Tamandua tetradactyla: one gene and its partners. The protein of the gene in region 2 purifies or fractionates together with the protein of the main gene of each other region. This does not show direct contact. Links are inferred from orthologs where the notes say so. Each region holds a gene or a part of one and is shown on either strand. Other genes may lie near its edges.

Region 1 (7,116 bases), on a different chromosome or scaffold from region 2:
TTCCCAGGAGTTATAATCAATGCCAAACTCCGTCCCCTTGGGCATATTCAGGATGACCACCGTGGCCCCTTCAAAGAACAGACGCTTGGCAAGCTCAGGATCCATCTGAATGGTGGCCATCGGGCCAGTGGTGAGTGACCAAAAGAAGAACCTTTCTTCCTTGCCTTCGCGAACAGCTGAAAAAGACACTGGTGTTAAGGAGAACTGGAGGAAGGTAGTTTCACTTGCCAAGCATTCTCTACATGTCAGATCTTGAATTACACTCCTAACATAATTATCTCCCATTAGCCTCTCCACAATCCTGCAGATAAGGAATTATGAGCCCCATTTTACAGATGAGGAAAGTGAGGCTCAGATAGAAGAGGATTTTTCTATTTTTAATGAGAAGGAACATTCACTTCATAGCTGGAAATACCTGAGTTAAAGAGGCATGATATACTCAAGGTCACAGAAGGACTCAAATTAGAACCTGGTATCCTGCTCTCCAGGCCACTGTCCTTTTGACTGTCCACTTCTAGGACATGCTTTCAGATCTCTCTGTTACAACAAAAGGTGAGGATGGAGAAAGCCTGGATGGGCTATCTTCAAACTTTAACTCTGACTGAAACCTGTTGCTGGAGAATTCCAGAAGTTGAAAGAATGATTAAATCAAGTACAAACCTATTTTTCTATAAGATTCAGTAAAGGCCCCAAAATTGACAGAAGGTTGTAATTAGGACACTATGGAGAAAAAAGTAGCATCTAAAATTCACAAAAGGTTTTGTGGAGTGGAACCACAAACCCCTCTTTTCCTTTTACTGACAAACACCGAAAGTCCAGGGAATAAAACAACTTCTCAAAAGGTCCACAGTCTGTGGCAACTCTGGACCAATTACCAGAGAGGATTCAAGCAGCATGACAGGCCTAGTATCAGTTTATTTCATCTACCTCTGAGCTACCAATGAAGACATATTGATAAAACCTCTGTATGTTCGAACACGAGGTAATTTCAACTAACTTTCTAGTCCCAAGACATCTACCTATTCACCAAACAGTCACTAAAGGCCTGCACTGTGCCAGGGACTTTGCTAGGCACTAAAGGAAATATCTACAGATTAAGACAATCACTGCCCTGTGGGCACTTATAATCAAGCTGAATGTACAAAATTTCACAAACAGAAGAGCCAGCTAATTTTCATCCTGTTTACTCTTTTTCCCCCCTTAAAACAAAACCAAACAAAATAAAACCGTGGGGAAAGGAAGACCAATGCTTTTTCCCCAAAATTGTTAAGAGCATATTTTATCATCTTAATCCAAAAGTTTTCTAAATCAATCTTTTTTTCAAACTGCCATTTTGAAGCCATTAATGGGTCATGAAACCAATTTGAAGGGTCTCAAGCAGCATTTTAAAAAATAAAGAGAATTTAAAAATCAGAGTTTACCATGAGTAGTTTTTTTTAAAAATCTGTGTGCTGGTTGCAACGTAAAATGTATTTGTTATGTAAGTTAGTAAAAAGCATTTGAAAACCACTACTCTAAATAATTTGGATCTTCATCTTTCTATCCCCAGCCTTAAATACAGAAGATAGTTAAAATGCCAATCAATAACCCATTTCCCATTGTGACACCTGTTTACTCTTCCTTAATAATTCCTTTCTTTCTAACTCCACCAGCCTGTAATTTTCTTCTCTAGCACATGGCCTGGCATGGAAGAGATGTTGAGGAAAGATTTAAAAGTGACCTACCAACCTGTCTTACAGCCCTCTGGAATGCAGAAAATCGCATCCATTCACTTCTCTCCATCACCCTAATCCAACATACGATCATCCCTCATCCAGAGAGCGCTTGCCACTCCAATGCATTCTCCATACAGTCAGAATGACCTTTGCAAAATGCCAATCTAATCATGTCCCATCCACACCTAAAACCTTCTGAGTGGCTTTCCACGTGGCTCTTGGAAAACCAAAATTCTTATCATGGCCTATATGAAGTCTGCATGGTCTCGCCCCTGGTAACCTCCCCAGCTTGGTTTCATCCCATGCTCCTCCAAAAGCTCGCTGTTTCCAGTCACACTGGTCTCTTTATGGCAGGCAAACAAGAGGCTTCCACGGGGTAGAACAGAATACTCTTCCCTCCCTTCTTTGCCAAACCATTTTTCCGATCTGACCGCTATAGTCAACTCCTTCCTAATAATGCCTCCCGACCCCGGGGTTAGGTGAGGTGTCCTTTGAGACGCTGGTGCCTCTCCTTTTCACACAATACGGTTGCAATTTTGCATGTTTGATTTAAGTTTGTCACCTCCAAGATTTGAATCCTTCTGTTCACTGCATCCACAGCACATATTAGACCCTCGATAAACATTTATTTACTAAAAGTATAACCTCTGTTTTGCAAAAGAGAAACAAAGGCTCTGCGCGGGGAAAGACCTTGCCCAAAGTCACAGAGAATAGGACACAGGCAGTTGGGGATAATTCAAGGTCTCCGGCCCCCAAACCTTAAAGTTAAGGGTGGAAAAAACGAAGTTACCCATGTATCCCGGGAAGGCGGACGGGGTCTTGGCTTCTTATGGAGAAGGGCCTCCGGAGACTCCAGCGTCCCACCACCCGGCCCACGGACCCAGACGTGGCTACCCATGCGAGGTGAAACTAATTCAGGGCACTCCGCGGTCCCGGGCCAGAAAGACAGTGGCCCCGGGCACGCAGATACCAAAAGCAGAGAAGGAAGAAATAAGCCAGGAAACCCTACTCACCGGCTCCCGCCTCGACCCAAACCTCAGGTACCACGGAAGCGCACCGGAAATCCCTCGGCTTCACCGCCGGATGGGAGCTTCGGAGAAAGACGCCCGACGGCGCCCTCAAACACGGGAGAAACGGTCCGCGCCTGCAGGTTCCGCCCCATCAAAGAGCAGCCTTGTACTGCTGTTAGTTACTCGTTTTAGTTCCTGAATCGTGGACAACGTTCATTGAACAATGCATTTTATTTCTGCCTCCAGAAACACACCCACTAGCCATAGTTCCTTGATCTCGAACAGTCCTGGTCACTGAGTCTGGGGTCAAGGTCATGGCTGCCCCTGAGACATCGACGCTCAGTCTGGGTCTCGAGCGGCTTCCAGCTGCGTTCAGCCTTTGGGGAGAGCCTTAGACAGCCAGCCCCTATCCCGGGGAGAATTATTCGCAGCTGCAGCAGGGTCTCCCGGTCAGTCCCTTTGGCCTTCATCACCGTGTGGTCTAGCGGCACAGGCCTAAGTCTAATATCTCAGTGGGGCAATAAATAAACACAGAGGGAGGGAAACTACCTGCCTTGTTTTGCACTATTTCCCTGGAGCCCAGCACAGAGCCAACCACAAAGGCTCAGCTCAGTACATGTGTTATGCACTTAATTAATAATGACAGTAATTCAATATTAAGAAAAAGAAAAGAAAATCTTCTATTCCTAGGCCTAGCCCTGTGATAGATGGTTGTGTTAGTCAGGGTTCAACTAATCAAAGAAGCAGACCCCGGAGGAGATCTATATTAAGACAGTTATTGCAAGGAAATGGCTTATGTGATTGTGAGGGCTAGCTAGTCAAATCTGAAATCCGTAGGGCAGGGTGTTGGGAAGAGCAGGCTGGGAAGCTCCTGCATGAGTGGAAGCTGCTGTTCAGAAGCAGAATCTCTTCTTCAGGGAAGCCTGAGCTCTGCTTTTAAAGCCTTTCAATCGATTAAATCAGGCCTACCAGATTATCTAGGACAATCTCTCTTAGAGTCAACTGCTGATTTTAATCACGTCTACAAAATACCTTCATAGCAATTCCTAAATTGCTGTCTGATTAGATAACTGGGGATTGTAGTTGAGTTGACGCATCCGAAAGATCCTCACAGTGGTGTACACTTATTTTCTAATCCCTTCAGACACCCTATGAAGTAGACTCTATCCCTGTAAGTCAGACTTTTTCCTTGTAACTCATGTCCTAGGAAACCGGGTATATTGCCTAGTTCATTCCACTCCTGGGATATTATTTCTAATCCTTACACTAACCCTAGTATACCCAATTTACAGAAGAGAAAACTGAGGTTCAGAGAGGTTACACAGCCAGAGAGCGGCAGAGCTAGTATGCAAACCAGGGTCTGACTGGTTGTTGTTCCTGTGCTGTCACTCCTTAGCTTGTCTGTGTGCTTTCTCATTGACAGCTGGCCACGCCAATTTGCCTCAGTCAAAATCCATCTCTTAGTGGACTGTAGGCTGCAGTCATGGTTAATCATGATGAGCTGCCACAGGATTAAGCAGATATGGACTCCATCAGTCATGGTCATGTGGGCCAATCTCAGCCTGTCACATCAGTTCCATTTCCTGCCTGAAGAAGTTTAGCTCTCTCCTGACTCCAAATCTTGGGTGCTGAACTCCACAGTTTTGTCTCAGACCTGCCTATTTTAAGTGGGCTCGCTATCTTCTCAGAGACTCAGGGTACCACACATACAAATGAAGCTGTAGATGATTCCCCTGGAATCCCACCCGTTGGTCGCAGGTCCATTTAGATCGGGGTTTTGCAACCTTGGCACCACTGCCTTTTTGGGCTGGATATTTCTTTATTGACTGGGAAACTGTTCTGTGCATTGTGAGATGTTTAGCAGCATCCCTAGCCTCTAACTACTACATGCCAGTAGGAAATCTCGGTTATGACAACTAAAAACGTCCCCAGGCAGGGTAGGGTGGTGTGTTGAGAACAACTGATCTAGGTAAGTAAGTCCCAAATTATTCCCAAGAAGCTCAGAGGCTGGCCCTGTATTTATGGGAGACAAGAGATACAGATCCAGGCTGTGTGGGGTTCTGAGGAATTGTGTGGGGACTCAATGCTTGCAGACCAATTTCTATTCCAGAACCCCCAGCGGGTGACAGCTAAAGGAAATCTAAAGAGAAAATGCAAAGAATGATTCAGAGCTCTCAGCAGCAATTGCCTCTGGCCTTGGACAGGGTTCTGGAGAAGGCTGAAGATTTACTTTTCACTGCCTTTTGTGTGATTTATTGAATTACCTTTCCAAAGTAAAGAAATAGTATTTGGTATTTGGAATTATGGAAGAATATAGGATATAAAAGAAACATCTAGAACGGTATGTACATTGCGACCTCAAATTTGTGAGAAAAAAAATACATATTCATGGGAAAAGACTGGAAGAAAAGGCATTGTATTATTAGCAGTGGTTCTTGCTTGGAAGACTTGGGCAATAGAGAAAGGTGGTCTGGGGTGACTCACGTGAGGGAATAAAAAGCCAAGTGTGGAATGTGTGCCTCGGATGGCCCAAGACATGAGTTTACATTTCACATGGATTATGGTTTTTTTATTTTAAAACTTGTCCATTTTTACTTTTACGAGAACTTCCATTCTTTGGAAAATGGTGCTAATTTTCTCTTTGTGGATATAGTAATATAGTTTCCGTTTTAAAAAATTTAATGTTTAAAAGTGAGTCAATTTAAAGAAAAATGGCAAGTCTATAAGGAGACAGGGGATACCAGGATATGGCAGCATTTGTGGAAGTGGCAGGCAAAGACTAACACTGGAGCTGTGGTATATGTTATGCATTAGGCTTCTGGGAGGGGAGTTGCAGGAAGAGCGACATCCCCATGAAGGCAGGAGGAGGAGAGGCCAAGCTATCCCTCCACACACTAAGCCCCTCCATGTCGTGGGACCCCACGTGGTGTTCTCTCTGCCCAGAATGCTGTCGCCCAGGTTCATTACCTTAACTGGCTCTTTCTCTTCATTCAGCTCAACATCAATTCCTCTGGAAGGCCTTCCCTGCCCCCCTTATTGAAAGGGGTCTCCTTCAGAGATCCGTCCCCACCACTGGTTTTGTTCCCACCTGCTGTTGATCACTCTGTCATTGTCTTTGACTGTTCCTGCGTTTTGGGGTCTATCTCCTCCGCTAGCCTGTGAGTTCCTGAAGGGCAGGTCTTTGTGTTATTCGCTGTTGTACTTGCAAAACGTAACCCAAGATTTGGAACACCCTGGGAGCTCTCAATATTTGTCGAGTAAAATGTTCTAAGTTGGGTTGTTTCCATCCCAGCCTTAGCTCTTCCCACAGGGCTGGCGTGTGCAGGGAGCCAAGGTTTGAGACAGAGAGGACACAGTAGTGTGTGGTTCAGCATCAAACACATTTATTTCACTTTTATTGAGTATACAAGAACAGAGAGCACACGCATACAGCACGGAGCACTGAAGTGTGGGAGCGCGGGTACGAGAGAGGAGAGAGGGACGTGAGGAAAGGAACAGGACAGCATTGCAGTTGGTTGGAAAGGTGCTTTTGGAAAAAAAAATATATTTAGGATGATGTTGCTCATGCAATTTCAGGCCAGTCTTGGAATGTGCTTGCAGGATTAAAAAAACTGAAACAGGTCCTGGAACTTCCTGTACCCTTGGATGGAGAAGATCCCAAAAGAGCAAAATAAGAGAAAATGAAGCTACGGAAGTTGGCAGAGTGGAAAAAAACCCTGGGGAGCATCTGGTTCAGGCCACTGATTTCCCACATGGGGAAACTGAGGCCCAAGAGGGAATGGGACTCACCCAGTGTCCCATATGAGTTAGGGGCTGAGCTGGGGTGGCTCCCCAGAACCCCCAGTGGCCCTCCTGGGACTTTCCCCACACCACCACATGGCTTTCTGGGCAGAGAGGCTGCACAGAAAGGATGAGAACCATAAAAAAAAAAGAAAAAGAAAAGTAGGCTGAAGACAGACAAGATACATTCTATATTCCCTGTGAAGAGGAGGATGGGGAGGAAATGGTGCCCTAGATTTCAGCTTCGCAGCTCCTCTCATCCCTAGTGGCACTGCTTGGAAGATCTCAGGACACCCCTGCCAGCCCACACCCTAAGCTGGTCACTGTGTCCCCTCCCACCACCTCACACCTAGAGTCTGCAGGCAGGTGCCTCTGGGGGAGCAGGTTAGAGGCAAAACCTGGAACAAAGACCCTCCCTCTGACCTATGTCCAGGGTGCTCAGGCCACCCAATTCCTGCAAAGACAGAGAGGCCCAAGCCAAATTCCAAGTGGCCCAGCAAGGATGGACCACCCCAGCTCCTTTCTTAGCCCCAAAGGAGTGAGAGCTCTCAAGTTGAGAAAGGCAAGAAGTTTCTGTAGCTCCCCCCCTGCCCCCCCCCCCCATGCTGTAA
Region 2 (7,629 bases):
CCACCAGCACACCTGGCACGAGGAGCCTGGGCACTCCTGGCACTCAAAGGCCTGCACTCTACCCCGCCCTGAGCTCCATACCAAGGACCTGAGAAGGTGGGGATGAATAGCCTCACAGAAGAGGTGTCTTGGAGCAAGGAGAAAATGAAGTCAGTGCCTGAAACTGGAGTAAAGGGGGCAAGAATACTTTTCCTCCTTTGGATAAACGTCTGGAATCCTTAGTGCTGCTTCTCTGCCATTCTGGGGCGGGTAGTTATGACTGGCTGAAGCGGCCCTGATTTAGGGGGAGGCAGAGAGATGATTTGTGGACCCAAGCATCCGAGGTTGGGTGGGGCAATAGCTGGCACTAAGAGATGGGCACTGCCAAGAGGCAGACCAGTCAGAGCTTTATTCATAACAAAGCCTCCACAGTTCAACCTGGGAGCTCCTCGATGAGAGTCCTGGGAGCGGGGGGCACGGGGCCTCCCCAGAGCTGTTCCAGCTCCCCAGTGAGGGCTGCCACCTCCTCGGCGGCCACGGCATGGGCTCGGTATGCTCTAGCGCAGTCTATAGCCAAGGGGGTGAGGGCCGCCTCATTTTCGTTGGTCCAAGCCAGAAGGAACTGGCACTTCTTCCGGGCCCGGTAGAGGCGATCTCGCTCCTCCGCAGCCACGGCCCGTTTCCGGGCCCTGCCCAAAGTCTGCGCCAAGTGTCCCAGGGCTGCTAGCGTGTAGCCTTTCTGGTTGGCCCGGCCCTCGCCCAGGAGGATGCGGGAGGTCTCGTGCATGGCACCCCGGGTGCCCAGGGGCCCGGGCGAGTGTTCGCCTGCCTCCAGCACGTGGACGGCAGCCAGCAGGGCTTCTTCGGCGGAGGAGAAAACTTGCTGGGAGCCCAGAGCCCCGGAAACGCCGAGCAGCGTGGCACAATAGTCGGAGAGGAGAGCATCATCACCGCCGTGATACAGGGCAAGAGCGTGCGCGTAGGCGAACAGCACGTTGGGTAGCTGGAAGCGCACGAGGGGCGAAGCCGGTCCGCGGCTCAGGCTGGCCAGCGCGGGGATGCGGATGGGCACGGCGGGCGCGTCGACCCCTGGGGCGTCTCCAGGAACCTCTTCCGCCGGTGGCGGTGGGGTCCTTGCGGGCGCACGCTCCACCTCCACGGCGTGATTGCCCCGGGTGTCATCCACTTCTTCTAAAAGCCGCGGCCCGGCCCCGCGGCCCCACCACCACGGCTGCCATGGAGGCAGCAGTCTCCCGGCCTCGCCGCGGCTCAGCAGCCGTTCAAAGGCCGCTTTCTCGGCCGGAGCCAGCTGCTCCCAGAGTCCGGAGAGGCCGCCGGGAGGCGGGCCTGCGCTGAGGCCTGCTTCCTCGGGATCATCCTCGGTCTCGCGTTGCTGACGCAGCCGGCGTAAGGCGCTTGCCAGGCGGCTGGGCGAGGCGGTGCGGCCGCGGAGCTCGCCCAACACCTGGTCGCGGTAGAAGTCTTCGGCGCAGCTGCCATGCGCCCTGTAGCAGCGCAGCGAGCAGTAGGGCACATTACAGCGTGGGCAGGTATAGCACGCTGGCCGGGCCTCTGCGACCGGGCAGAAGGCGCAGGGCGCGACGGGATCCATGACAATTGCCTCTGATAACCAACTGCGACCGTTCACGGGCGATGCTAGGGGACTTCCGGCTCCTCTTCGATTGCTTCCGGCGCTTCTTCGGTGACTTCCGCCTCCTTGCGGAGAGGCGGGGCGCTTTCTCGCTAAGCCCTCCCGAGCACTCTCGGCTATTCCCGTCCACACTCGGGGTCCAGGCTCCACCTCTCTCCCGAGTAGCGCTTGGGCGGCCCCTGGCGAGCCCCGCCCCACGCGGTGACGTAACAGAGACCGATAGCAGGTCAGGAGTCGGAGGGTTGTCCACCCGTGCCGGCTCGCCCCTTAGTGGTTGCGCCAAAACGTGGCTGACTGCCTAAAGAAAAAAGCTGCATTTCCAATATGTAAAGCGCTGAGGCTGAAATCAATCCTCAGAACCTACTCTGGGACATAACTTGTGCAAGGCTTATGGGAGATGAAGGTGAACTGCGTCCCTGAGCTGGAGCAGCGGCTATTCCCCTAAGGAATACAGACAAGGGGCAATTCTAGTGGGAGAAAGCTCATAATGGGGTTACTTAGCCCAGCTTGAGTGTGTGGGCTGGGGGGCACCTCCCCGCATCGGCAGAAAGCATCATTTAACACCTGAGCTCGTTTGATTTTTTTCTTCCAAACTCATCTCTTCTGTCATCTTGCCATCCCTTGCCTAGCTGCTCAGCAAAAGCTTTAAGTGAGGACTCCTTACTGGGAGCCAAGAGAGATAAGGACCCTGTCCTGACGGAGTTTACAGTCTGTGAGAGAGTGGGGCATGTTATGAGATGCAAACCATCTTATGGCTGTGAAGACTTACTCCATGGCACCCCCGTAAGCCCTGGTTCTTTCTTCCCCCTCATCCCACATCCAATCCCATGTCCTGCCAGTTCTGCCTCCAAAATACCTTGTAATTAATTTTGATCATATATTTCCATGCCAAGATTTGATTCAGATTCGAAAACTTTCAAAGCTATTTATTTGTATCCCTGTTGCCTCTGATATGAATATGTTGGAAGGAGGAAAACTTGAACAGCCCCAGAGGAGTTCCACATCCAGGAACACGGAAACAATCACCTAACTAAAGATGGCTACGATTAGGTTAGCAAGGTTAGCCAACCGACACTGAAGCTTTCCAAACTGAGGCAGGCTAAGTTCCTGTCCTGGACTCCATGAAGCCTACAACTGGCCCTAAGTTTAGAGAAGGACCAAATGTGTATTTCCTAATTTATCTTCTATTTGAACCCTTCCCTCCCTTCCATTACAGACTCCATAACAAATCCTTCCACGATGATTCCTGCTACGTTCTCTGTTAAAATTTTAAGTCAGAACCCGGGGATAGAATTATGAAGTTATTTGGGACCTAGAGGCCCCCAACTCTACATCTGAAGGGCTGGCATTTTACCATTTCTTCTCCCCAGACCAAGGGCTTCTGCCTTTTCCTAATTTGACGTTGCCAATAACAAAACAAACCTCACTGTTCTCCTGTGGTGGGGGATGCACCACCAGCCCTAAAGGCCGTATTTCCACTGCTCCCTGCCTCCAGACCTTGCAAAATAAAGACAAAGCAATGACATATGGGCAAAGTGGCTTTATTAGACAAAGCCAGGACTACACAGGACTTAAGAATTGGCATTGGGGCCTTTCTTCTTGCCAAAGGTGGGCACAACGTTGACAAAACGCCGGTTGTACTGCATGCGCCGCTTGGCCCGGCCAGTCTTCTTCTTTTTCTTCTCCTGTTTGGCCACCTGGGAAAAGGGAGGGTTAATCAGAGCCTGACCAACGTGTTCAAACCTTTTATCCCTTTCCTCAGGTTCAGCCCCTGAGAGGAAGATGGCAATCAGGACAAGAGCCAAGGGTCCCAGCTTACGGTTATAGAAAATATAGTCCAAACATCACCACTCATACCCTCACTTACCTTGGGAGTCTGACCTCTCACTTTCCCAGCACGGGCCAGGGAACCATGGACTTTACCTACGGTGAGAAAAGAGAACAGCAAGCAGTTAGAGGAGCCAAAATGCCCCATCCAGCAAAATCCCTCCTTCCTCAACTTAAACTTTTAATGTCAAGCTGGGCCCAATAGGGAATGAGAACAAAACAGGAGAGATTGGTTTGCCCTTTAAGCAAGAATGTGCTGGTCTGACATACTTTGGGGTGTCACCTCAGATTTTCCAGCCCCTGACTTATAAAACTATACTATGGCTCAATCTCCCCTGAATCCCTCAAAGGTTCCACCTGAGAGGCAGAGAAGAATCACTCTAGACCGAGGGTACTTGATTAGCACTATCTGTGTTATCGCAGAAATGACAGTACACTTCCCTGACTATCCACTCCACACCCGGTGAGAACTTACAGGCAGTTCAAAGAACGCTCCTCCCCCACTCACCTCCAAGCATACGACCGGCTACTTCCAGAGTGGTCAGAGCCTCCACCCCACACTGGCCCAGTGTGGCCTCATCCTCCAGGGGCGTGCCTGCCAGGAGCACGACTTGATCTTCCGGGGCGATGCCTTCCCGGGACGCTACTTGAGCCTACATAGAAAAATGCGATTCCTAAGCGTTCCCGCAGAGAGTGAAGGGGAATGGCACAAAGGAATGGAGCCCAGGGAACACCACGCAGCCTTACCTTGATCTGGGCGACCGTCTCCTGGCCGGTCACCTCGAGGGTGTGTAGTTCCTGGGCGCGGACGAAGAGCTGCATGTTGGCGACTGAAGACAAAAGGAAAGTTTGAGCGAGACAATGTTCAGGGGGAAAGAGGGGTCGGTAATGGGTGGCGGGCCGGAGAGAATCGCGCAGGGATGGAGGTAGGCAGTCGCGGAGTCTCACGTGGGGAGTTCGGGCCTGCCAGGGAGGTTGGACGTGGGGGGGTTTTGAAACAGAGCTAGGCGCACAGAGTAGCCCTTCTTCCTCCATTTCTCTTACGCCCTCTGACCTCATGACTAATCCGCCATCAGCCCTCTAGATCCAGTCATACCTCAAGTCTTACCTGAACCGCGGTTGCTACCGCCGCTACGCCGAAGATGGAGTCGAGAAAGAGAAAGCAACGAGTGTGCACTCGACCTCACCGCCTGCTGAATGCAACGTCACTGCTGAGCGACTGCGCCGGCCCCAATTTGTACTGTTTACGGCCTTCCTGGCCCCGCCTCTTTACGCTCCGCGCAGGCGTTCTTCCAATCATTGGCGCGCGCGCAGGAGGGGGGGGGCGGGCTCAGGTGGGCGCATGCGCGGAAGGCTAACGTAGGGGGCAGGTCAAGATGGCAGCGTCCATGTTTCGAGCTACTGTGTGGGGTTGGAGAACCTGTGTCCAGCCGGGCCGCGGGATACGGCACCTGGTGAGAGCGGCCGAGCTTGGGGTTGAGGGATGAGCTGTTATTTATTGTAGCCTTGGAACCCGAGTCTCATCGGAGGCACTTGGCTGGAGCGTAGTACAAGAACAAGAGGGAAGGAGGCAGACCGGGAGCGCGGCTTCGGGCGTGTGGAAGTTAGAACCTGGTGGGAGGGAATCCTGATGAGCCAGAACTAGGAGGAGTAGTACATCGACTCTCGCTGCCCAATTTTTCGAAGAGGGAACCTTTTCACCGGGTAGGGGCCGACCCTTTGGCGACACTCCTGGGAACCCAGGGCTCCTGGTTACGTAGGCCGCTTCATCCTGCTTCCTTGCTCTTCTTGTAAATCCTGGGCCTGTCAAGACTCCGAGGTATCTGTTGGGAGAATTGTCTACAAGAAGGATCTTTAGGCTGGAAGGAGAGCAGGACGTTTTCTGGAGTGTGACTTTAGGTAGATTATTATTTTCTTAGTGTCTTACTCTTTTTTGGGTGTAAAGAGAATAGTAAAATATCTGACTTGTCGCGTTCTAATAATTAAGTAGAATCAGTGCACAATGCACTTAACATGATGCCTCGCAATGTCTCTGTGGGCCTAAAACTGTCCAGGTAGGGGGTCCTATTGTATGAATGCTGAAAGTGCCTAGCCCAGAATTAGAATTAAATAGAATGTCTAAAGGAAACTTTAAAATACTGAGAAGTGACCATTGGTCAGATTTATGGAAGAAGCAGCTCGGCCTTTCAGATGTATATGCCTATTCTCATTGAGTCCCACAGAAATCCTGAGACGCAGGGCCCTTCTGCCAGTCCTACCTGTACCCTGCTCCCTCACTAGTTGAAATCTGGTGTTTTCCCTACCTGCAGCCTTTTATTTAATCCATTTTCTCTGCCTATAATTAAGTAGAATCTACTTATTGTATTGTGTACCCATCCTGTTTTGGGTGGGTGGGTCAGTGGTCAGTGGGCTAATTGATTTTTTTTCTTTCTCAGAGCCAGACCCAGGGGCCTCCTGAATACCCCAGCTTCGTGGAGTCTGTGCATGAATACCAGTTTGTGGAGCGTCTTATACCCCCCACCAGCATTCCAAAGCCTCCGAAGCATGAACAGCTCACCCCCAGTGGCTGGCAGCCCCCTCAAGGTGAGCTGGGTGATAGGGATGGCTTGAGAAGGGCAAAAATTGGACCCAGAGCGTGACCCAAACTCCCAGGGAGGCCCTGGCCTTGATTTCATTTCTTTATTCCATTAATGTTTCTTGAGCACTTACTCAATGCCAGGCCTTTCTGTTGGGGCTTGGGGTAACGGGGTGAACACGCTAGTCCCGTGACCCTAAACTTAGGGAAAGGGGAGCCCCCTGTCCTGGAATCTGAAGGTGATATTGCCCAGGGTTGTTGACCCTCTGCAGACTCTGCAAGGGGACGGGCCCTTAGCTAAGTGGGAATGAGGCCTGGAAAGAGTTGGCTTACTGTGCCTTCCTGTCATGTCACAGACCCTCCACCCAACCTGCCCTATTTTGTGCGGCGCTCTCGGATGCACAACATTCCTGTCTACAGGGACATCACACATGGCAACCGTCAGATGACAGTGATCAGGAAGGTGGAGGGGGACATTTGGGTAAGTGGGTGAGTGGGTCAGGATCCGTCCTGACACTTTCAGGGCTGAGGGAGTGGGAGTCCCGACCTGCTTTCCCTGTCCTCTAGAGAGGGGCTCCTGGCTAGGCCTGTTAATCATCTTCCCCCAGGCCCTGCAGAAGGATGTGGAGGATTTTCTGAGCCCACTGCTGGGGAAGACACCTGTCACCCAGGTCAGCGAAGTGACAGGTACCCTGCGGGTCAAGGGGTACGTTGACCAGCAGCTCAAGGCCTGGCTCCTGGAGAAGGGCTTCTGAGGCCCTGCCGAGCGCCCTGGATTGTGACAGCATCCCTCCCAGATTGGAGGCCTTGGGGATGGGAGGTGGGTATTGGAACCAAGGAACAGGAGCTGCTTAGAGAGCAGGGCTAAGGGCTTGGACAGGGTAGGGTGAAGGATAAAGGGCCTGAGTCAGGCCTTGTCTGCATAAAGGAAGAAACGGGACTCTGCACGGCTGTCAGCAGTGGGTGAGGGATATCTACATTAGATACCCACCAGGAATAGCCAAGCTAGTGGGGGGCATTACTTGCTGTACCCCGCTTTCACTTTCCCCTCACTGAGCTCCGTAGACTCTGCTATTCCAATCCTGGGGGTGCTGACTGCTATTCTGGTGGAAGCCATAGCCCAACCCAGTTTAGGGGAGGGTAGCACGGGGCAGATCCATCAGGCACATCTCTTCCTTGGCTCTCTGGCCCTCCTGAGCTGCCTGCTACTCACATTCCCTAGCCCCTGCTCTAGGTCACAGTTGGCTTAGTTGGAAGCTACAACAGATGACTCAGGCCTGGGTCCTGCAGGTCTTCACAGGGCTGGGCACAGCCTCAATCCCTGAGCTCTCTGTACCTGATGGAGAGTTGGAGGGCCTAGCTGGAGTTCCTGTCCCTTCCAAACCAGAATTAGGTTTGACTGGCTTTCCACAATCCTGAAAATGGAAGCTCCAAGAAATTAAATGATTTGCTTTTGTTGGTGTGCCCACGAGGGGGTGCCCAATACAAGGCCATCCTCCTCAGCCTAGTGACCTGGTTTTAAGGCTGATCAGGGAGTTTGCAGGCAGGAAGATGCTGACTCTTGTCTGGTCTTCCCATTTCATGGCAAGTCCCCTTC
Region 3 (7,975 bases), about 7.2 Mb from region 2:
CCCCACCATGGAGAGCCCACCTAGGGCTGCAGGAGGTGGGAGGGAGGGAGGAGGAGACACGGACCCCTGGCCCTTCTTGAGTGCTCCCTGCCACTCTGTCACTGTGCTGTCCTGGGACCAGGGACCCCTGCCCCCCACCAGCGCGGCCACCTTGTCTGATAAGGGCATCCTGGGGCAGTTGTCACAGTGCAGCCCCTGGGGACAGGCGGCCAAGTGCTGATGCTGACAGCGGCAGAAAGGGTGCTGCCCTGCCAGCTTGCGGGGGACAGGGGCTCCGCCTCACTGCACCTGCTCTCAGGCTGTTGGGGCGCCAGCCACTGCGTCTACACAGCCGACCACGCCCCCTCCCCCAGGTATCTACATTCTCATCGCTGTGGGCGCCGTGATGATGTTCGTTGGCTTCCTGGGCTGCTACGGAGCTATCCAGGAGTCACAGTGTCTGCTGGGGACTGTGAGAGCTTGGCGGGGCACTGGGTCGGGGGCCACAGGGGGCTTGGGGTGGGCTGGGGACCGTGGGAGGGTGGGGTCAGGCAGGGACTGGCAGGGGGGCCATGGCCGGGCTGGGGCTAGTGGGGAGACTGTGGGGTGGACCTGGGGACTACAGGGGAGGTGTGGGGGGGCAGGGACTGAGGGACAGGGTGAGGGCGGGCCTGGGATCCTCAGGAGATTGGGGGTCATGGGGCAGGCCCAGGAGCAGCTGCAGTTCTCATGGACAAGCCTGGGAGATGGAGTAGGCAGTGCTTCTCGCGGGCCTGGGGAAGGGTCAGCGGGCAGACCCTGGGGTCTGGTCCGGAACGTGGGCTGTTTGGGTGTCCTGTCCTGTTCTGATGTTGCACCCTCCCCCACCCCACCCAGTTCTTCACCTGCCTGGTGATCCTCTTTGCCTGTGAAGTGGCCGCTGGCATCTGGGGCTTCGTCAACAAAGACCAGGTGAGCCAGAGCCTGGGGGGGCAGCGGAGAGGGCCCTGTGCTCAGGTGTGGGCGGGCGGGTTGGCCCTTAGCCGGGGATGGGCTCCCCTGGGGCCCACCTGAGAGCAAAGTCACGGAGGGCTTCCTGGGGGAGGCAGCCTCGGGGCTGAGAGCAAAGTCACGGAGGGCTTTCTGGGGGAGGCGGCCTCGGGGCTGAGCCGCGGGCAGAGCGGGGCCGTGTCCCTGCCTCCTGGGAGTGTGGGTGCACCGCTTCCACTGAGGGGTGCCCGCCCGCCCCCCAGATCGCCAAGGACGTGAAGCAGTTCTACGACCAGGCGCTGCAGCAGGCTGTGGTGGACGACGACGACAACAAGGCTAAGACCGTCGTGAAGACCTTCCATGAGACGGTGCGGGGGCCGGGGGTCAGGTCCTGGCCTCAGCCTGGAGCTGCGGGAGGCAGGAGCCTGGTCCCCTGAGCTCTGCACCCCTGGGAACCCAGACGGGGTGCTGCTGGGGCCCAGTTTTCCGCCCTTTGCTTGATCCTGGGGTCCTCAGCATCCCCCAGACCTCACCGCACCCCATCACTCTGTCCCGGCCGAGGGCTGGTGGGAAGGCGTGACGCCCTGGCCCAACCACTGCCCTCGTTCCCTGCAGCTCAACTGCTGTGGCTCCAGCACCCTGACCATGCTGGCCAGCACACTGACCAAGAATAACCTCTGTCCATCGGGCAGCAACATCATCAGCAACTTCCTCAAGGTACGTCACGCCCCTCGGGGCGACCCCTGAGGCAGGAGTGGGGCTGGGCCTGACTGTTTCTGGGTGGCGGGTCCCTGGCCAGCGTGGGCAGGCTGCCCCTTGCTGGGACACTGTGGCTGGGGGGTCAAGGTGTGGCCGAGGAAGGCCATGGCATCTGCTATCTCCGTCTGCTGGGGCTCCCAGGACAAAGCTGCCTGCTGGGGGCTTGTCTCACAGCGTCTAAAGCGCCAGGGTCTTTCTCCCAGGCTGTGTGCTGTGCCGGCACTAGCCTGCTGCTTCCCCGGCGGCCCCTTCGCCTTCCCTGGCCGAGTTTCAATGTCCCCAGCGTGTGAGGCCTTCAGTCCCATTGGTGTAGGGCCCACCCCAGTCCCTTTGGGCCTCTCTGCAGAGGTCCCATTTCCCGTGGGCATGCGCCCGCTGGGTGGGGCGACAAGTTGAACACATCTTTCTGGGGGGACCTGTCTGGGGATCTGGGGATGAGGAGTTGGGCAGCTTGCAGGCTCCCCCAGGCAGCCATCTACGGCCCCATGTGAGAGGCCGGCACTCCTGGTGCCCCTGGGAGGCCACTGTGACCGTGCAGGCCCCCAGATGGGTGCAAGGGGCTCTGAGCTGGGGGCAGGGGGGTGGTGCGCACTGGCCCAACATGGCTAGGAGGAGGCAGGGGCAAGCTCCTTTGGTGCTTTTCCTGTATTTCCCATACTTTTTCTGTGAAGCTTTGTAGCACCAGGAGGGAGGGTGTGGGCAGGGGGGTGGGACAGTGAGCCAAGGGCTGGTGCCCTGCAGCCCTAATGACTCCTGTGTTCCCCACAGGAGGACTGTCACCAGAAGATCGACGACCTCTTCTCGGGAAAGCTGTACCTTATCGGCATCGCCGCCATTGTGGTTGCTGTGATCATGGTGAGCCGGCTCGGGCGGGTGGGGGCTGGGACTCTGGGCCGCGGGGGTCTGGGGGGCCAGTCACTATCTCCCTGTACCTCACGTGCCCACCCCTGTCCCCGCAGATCTTCGAGATGATCTTGAGTATGGTGTTGTGCTGCGGCATCCGGAACAGCTCCGTGTACTGAGGCCCCGGCAGCCCTGGCTGTGGGGTGGGGGAGGGCAGAGGGTAGCAGCCAGCCAGTGGGACCCCCACGGCCCTCCCCTCATGACCCGGCCATCTCTTAGGCGGCCCCTGGCACCACCTGTGTATATAACGTTTCCGGTATTACCCTGCTATACTTAGCATTTTTACTTTTGAGGTTTTGTTTTGTTCTGGTTTCCTGTTACCCTTTTGGGGCCTGCGCCAGGCGTAGGTGGCAGGAGAAGGGCCTGGGCCCAGCCTGGGGAAGCAGGGGAGGGGTCCACGAGGAGTCCCTGCCTTGGGGGCTCTGTCTGTCCAGCACAGCTGTCCAGGGGGGCACCTGTCCCGGCTGATGGGCTGTGTCCTCCCACCCCAGCCTGACCTGGGGGCTGGGCGTCTCCCGCCTTTTTTAATCCGCGTTCCTCCTCCCACCCCTTTTCTAGAGCACCCGTATGCCTTCTTGCAGCTATCCTTTCTAACATGTCATCTTCAACTGTAACTGTAACATCTTGGAACAGTCATTCAATAAAAAAGGAAAACCAGGCATGCTAACGTGGCTGCCCGAGCCCCTTCCTGTGCCAGGCAATGCCACACCCCGGGGATGGCTAGAGGCCTGGGGGGCCCCAGCTGGCTCTGGACCCGACCTGGCAATGGTGGACCCATGGTCCTTGGACAACGGTCCATGTGGCTACAAGATCCCACCCCCCACTCCTCCCTGCTTCTGAGGGCTGTTCCAGCCTTGGGTTTTCCTCATGCTCGTCAGAGCCCCACACCCCATCTGAGAGCACCAGGGCTGCTCTGGGGCTGCTGTCTGCCTGGGACTGCAAGGATTTGGCATGGATGCCTGGTGCTAGCACTCCTTCCCCTTCCTTCTGACATGTTCCCCTCCTGAAGGGGTGAGGGACTCTTCACTGCCCATCAGGAGAAGCTGGGAGGCTGGAGTAGGGTTGGTGGGGAAGACCACCTGGCCTGCTCCCTGGGCCCACGGAGGTCTTTCTGTTCTAGAGGTTTCAGTGAGTGCAGCCCAGACCCTGCTGCCTGGTCCCCCGCTCCCTGGGAGCCCAAGGATGCTGAGTGAAGGTGTCATGAGCTCAGCTGGGCCCCCAGAGACAAGTGCCCATCTGACTATGTCAGGGATAGTCCTGACAAGTGCCTATCTGACTATGTCAGGGACTTCCAGTCCTGCCCCGGGGTCTCAGCAGGCCTCCCCCATTCCCTACTACTGACGCTCGGGCAGGTTGGGACAGCACAGGATGGTCCAAGGAGCCCCTTCTGCTGCCCCTGGATCCCTGCCCAAGACTGTGGCCTGGTGGTCTGGGTATAGCCTCGCGTATGGCATGCTGCAGGATGAGACGTGGGGTCCAAAAGTAAGTTTATGGTTCACTCGACAGTGGGATCCTGATGAGGCAGGTGGGGACTGAGCCTCACAAATGGGGTATTTCAGGGTTGCCCAGCACATCAGGGACTGAGAGGGGGCACGTCTCAAACCCCTCTGGGTCTTTTTTGGGCTGGACCACACAGGACCTTGAGTCCTTGGGTTCCCAGGAGAGGCCAGGCCGGGGAAAAGGGCAGGTTCTCTCGACCACCACCCCGTCCCCCTAAAAGTGGAGCTGGGCAGCTGAGGGGCCTCACGGATGGGCTCATCAGCCGTCCCGGGGGAAGGGAGACCAGGACCTCCTTCTCTGCTGTGCGGACGTGACCTGCCTCACAGCAGCGGGCCCCTCCAACAGGCTGCCAGCCTCCCGAGGCGGGGCCGTCCGGGCCACGGCCCCCAGGCCTACTCGGGCTCTCCCCGGGGGCCCTGGGAGGACGCAGCCAGGCGAACGCTGGGCCCTGGCTTCCCCACCTGCAGGTCTCCCTTTCACTTCCCCTGAGGCGCGTCTCCCCGGTGACCGAAGGAGGCAGGCGCGCCGTCAGTGCCCCGGGTAGAAAGCCCAGATGGGGCCCGCTGTCGTCAGAGCCCACGTGGCGGGGATGGCTGGCCGCGGCCGCGTCCCTGAGGGAACCAGGAGGTCCGCGGGGCCGGGGTCGGGGAGCGCCTGGGATGCGGGTGGGAGGCACCCAGGCCAGCGGGGTGCCCAGACTGCGCCCGCATTACGTGTCGGCTGCAGCCAGGCCCGGAGCGGAGCTGGCACGGCAGCTGGCCGAGGCGGGGACGGGAACGCGGCGGAAAGCGCACGAGCGCCGGCAGACGGCCCCGGAGCTGAAACTCGGACTACAGCACCCGCGAGGCACCGCCCCTTCCGGCTGAGGCGCGAGGCACCGCCTCTTCCGGTTGAGGTCCGAAGGACCCACCCCGCTTAGCGGCGCTCGAGGCCGCGCTTCCGGCGTGGGCCGTCGCGCTCTCCCTGCGGCCCCCCTCCCCTGGTGGTGTTGGGACGCCTGGAGCTTCACGCTGGCCGTTAGCCCTCAGGATTGTGAGTGTCGCAGCCCGGGCCCCCGCACCCCTCCGCGTCTGAGTCAGTTCGGGCTTCGTTCTAGAAGAAGCGCCGCCGCTGCCTGGGCTGTTAGCCCCCAGCGCGCGGAGATTATAGGGAGCGCGCACGCCGACGCCCCCTGGCCTAGCAGTCCCGGCATGCCTCGGGCGCCGCGCCCCCAGTGCCTTGTGGGAGTTGTAGTTCTCTGGCCGCGGGAGCCGCCGCGTTCGGCCTCAGAGGACTCGGTTTCCCAGAAGGCCGAGCGCGGCGACCCGGCGGGCGCGCCCATCAAGATGGAGGCGAAGGCCGCCGAGAGCTGGTAGGTTGTGGCTGGGAGGCGGCTGTCCGCATCCCCGAGCCCAGAGGTCCCGCGGCACACAGGACCCCCTCCCTTCGCGGCCTGGCCTTCGGGACCTATCCGGCCAGAATCTACCGGCTCCCGAGAGCCGTCCCGTGGTTCCCCGACGTGGGGAGCCTGCGCGTGCTAGCTCGCTGGGTCCCGAGGGGAGAGACAACCGTAGGAAGCTGCCCCCTGTCCCCGGCTGCCTAGACCCTCAGCCTCCGCTCAACTCTGCGCTCCGCTAGCTGAATTTCCTTTATTCCAGGAGTCCCGCCCACCAGGCTACTTTGATTAGTCGCGGCAGCGTCCCCGGGGTGCAGAGGACAGTGCGAATTGGGGAAGCAGAGTCCGGCTGGAACTGGGTAACTTAGGCCGATTATTCCTACCCTGAGATCTCCCCGTGTCTGGCCCGGCAGGGAGCTCTCAGCCCCTCCTGGCCTGTCTGCATCCTCAGGGTGCAGCAGCCAGCGAAGCTGGGCAGGAGGAGGTGGTGGTGGCGATTGGCTGGGGGCGAGGCCGCGCTGTCCTCAGCCTGCGGTCAGCCAAGCTCCAAGCCTCCCAGAGACGCCAGACCCTGCCTGTGTCTCCAGCACTTCTCTGACTGCCTGGATGCCGCAGGGGAGATGCGGAATGGAGGTTGTTCCAGAAGCTGCCTAGGGCCTGTTTGTCAGAAAAGCTGCTCCAGGTGGTCACTGACTCCCCAGTTTTCCAAGACTTGGATGCGAAGGTCTTGATCTCTTCAGAGCTCCCAGGGCAGTTCCCTGCAAGTACATGCCAACTTCCTGCCCATGGACCAGGAAGGTGCCCCGACCTCTGTGGGATACTGAGTCTGTGCTGGGTACTCTGTTAAGCAGTTCGTCAAGGGCCCTGCAGTACGTGAGCAGAGGCTGTCCTCATCCTAGGCTCAGACCCTAGCTGAGTTGTGGACCAGTGAAATCCCCCCCACCCCCAAGTAGGCCAGTGAGTCTGCTGAGCCTCCATCTCTGCAGCCTGCACTTAAGACGATGTTGTCTTAAGAGGGTTATTGGAATTAAGTGAAGTAATGTGTTGGTAGTGCCTCCTGCAGTGCCTAGCATGCACTGGGGGCATGGTGAACACAGGCTCCCTCGTGAGTGCCACTTTGCACGCTCACTCTCTGGCCTGATGGTTGAGTCTCTTCCCCAACCCTCATCCAGCTGTAGCTGAGCAGCCAAGCAGAGCCGTGCTGGGGAGTCTCCTGGGACTGGGAAGACCTCGCCTCTGCAGCCGCGGAACTGGGTCAGGGCGCCTTTGCCTCGCCAGCCAGCACTTAGGCACCAGCTTCAAGCGTCCAGGAAACGAGGGAGGTGAGAGAGGGCTATCCATGGGTAAGGGTGGGACCCAGGCCCTTTCTCTGTAGAGGCAGCTCTAAGTCCCTGGGCTGTTTGCGTCTAGGTGTGGTGCAGCCCTCGGCACACATGGCGGAGGCAGGGGCAGGCGAGCCGTCCCCCAGCTTGGATGCCGAGCGTGGGGCAGAGTATGATGCCCTGCCTTCTGACACAGTCTCCCTCAGCGACTCGGAGTCGGACTCGGACCTCAGCCTGCCGGTCGGTGCTGAGGTGGAAGCTCTGTCCCCTGAGGGGCTGCCTGGTAAAGCTGGTGGGGATTCTGAGCCTGATGAGCCCCCCAGTCTCCCCTTGGACCTCCCAGGAGCCCCCGTCCAGCTGTTCCACCTGAGAGGCATGAGCTCCACCTTCTCGCAGCGCAGCCGGGACATCTTTGACTGCCTGGAGGGGGCGGCCAAGCAGGCCCTGCCCTCTCTGGCCCATGTCACCAGCGTGGGTGACGATGGGGACTTCAAGTTGCCCCCTGTGCCCCCCAGCCAGCCTCTCAGAGAGGCCCTGGGTAGGTCTGGTCGAAACCCTGCTCCCCTGAGGGCACCATCTGTCCCTGACTACGTGACCCACCCCGAGCGCTGGACCAGGTACAGCCTGGAGGACGTGGCCGAAGCCAGCGAGCAGAGCAACAAGGCTGCAGCCCTGGCATTCTTGGGCTCCCGGGGCCCGGCTGCCCCCACTCACTATGCGCCCTCCTTCAACCAGGACCCCTCCAGCCGCGGGGAAGGAAGAATCATCTTTTCCAAACCGGCCCGGGCTGGTGAGGCCAGACCTGAGAGGAAGAGGGTCCTGGGCAAGGCAGGAGGGCCAGGCAGGAGTGTCCCTGGGGACCTGGGGCTGGCAGAGGCCGAGGACTCCGTGGAGTTGGCCCATCTAGTGGCAAGTCCTGAGACTGAGGGGGGGCTGCCCGAGGAGGTTGCCCGCAGTGAGTCAGTGCTTGACCCTGGGGGGCCCCCAGTGGTGGAGGCTGTTGGCTTCCATGGTAGCAAAAAGCGGAGTAGAGAGCACTTCCGGAATAAAGGCAGCAGCCCCGAGGGCCCAGAAACTGAGGCCTGACAGAACGACTGCCCAGCTAGGTCACTCTGGCCGCTGCCGAGGCCCTGCCTTCTGGGCCCAGGCCCGGCCCTCACATGAGCCC

What was found.
Region 1: the proteins of ZNHIT2 (region 2) and AAR2 purify together in Homo sapiens (affinity purification with mass spectrometry; 3 studies listed by BioGRID and IntAct, counting the BioPlex papers as one, with this or other methods). This does not show direct contact. The link is inferred for Tamandua tetradactyla from reciprocal best matches to the Homo sapiens genes ZNHIT2 and AAR2.
Region 3: the proteins of ZNHIT2 (region 2) and TSSC4 purify together in Homo sapiens (affinity purification with mass spectrometry; 3 studies listed by BioGRID and IntAct, counting the BioPlex papers as one, with this or other methods). This does not show direct contact. The link is inferred for Tamandua tetradactyla from reciprocal best matches to the Homo sapiens genes ZNHIT2 and TSSC4.

What each region holds. Positions count from the first base shown.
Region 1 is NC_135327.1:16,166,425-16,173,540, forward strand, and holds the start of AAR2 (protein AAR2 homolog), read right to left. Parts: upstream 3,042-7,116; 5' UTR 2,729-3,041; intron 177-2,728; 5' UTR 121-176; coding exon 1-120. UniProt on the Homo sapiens protein: Component of the U5 snRNP complex that is required for spliceosome assembly and for pre-mRNA splicing.
Region 2 is NC_135335.1:9,458,949-9,466,577, reverse strand, and holds ZNHIT2 (zinc finger HIT domain-containing protein 2), read right to left. Parts: upstream 3,059-7,629; 5' UTR 1,592-3,058; coding exon 413-1,591; 3' UTR 374-412; downstream 1-373. Other genes in the region: FAU (ubiquitin-like FUBI-ribosomal protein eS30 fusion protein), read right to left, coding at 3,202-3,327, 3,498-3,553, 3,966-4,110, 4,205-4,279; MRPL49 (large ribosomal subunit protein mL49), read left to right, coding at 4,834-4,911, 5,893-6,040, 6,389-6,513, 6,641-6,787. UniProt on the Homo sapiens protein: May act as a bridging factor mediating the interaction between the R2TP/Prefoldin-like (R2TP/PFDL) complex and U5 small nuclear ribonucleoprotein (U5 snRNP).
Region 3 is NC_135335.1:2,280,625-2,288,599, forward strand, and holds the start of TSSC4 (U5 small nuclear ribonucleoprotein TSSC4), read left to right. Parts: upstream 1-4,934; 5' UTR 4,935-5,142; intron 5,143-5,356; exon of another isoform or gene 5,357-5,461; intron 5,462-5,747; exon of another isoform or gene 5,748-5,844; intron 5,845-6,657; 5' UTR 6,658-6,807; intron 6,808-6,895; 5' UTR 6,896-6,918; coding exon 6,919-7,893; 3' UTR 7,894-7,975. Other genes in the region: CD81 antigen, read left to right, coding at 354-451, 856-930, 1,212-1,316, 1,564-1,665, 2,476-2,562, 2,667-2,729. UniProt on the Homo sapiens protein: Protein associated with the U5 snRNP, during its maturation and its post-splicing recycling and which is required for spliceosomal tri-snRNP complex assembly in the nucleus.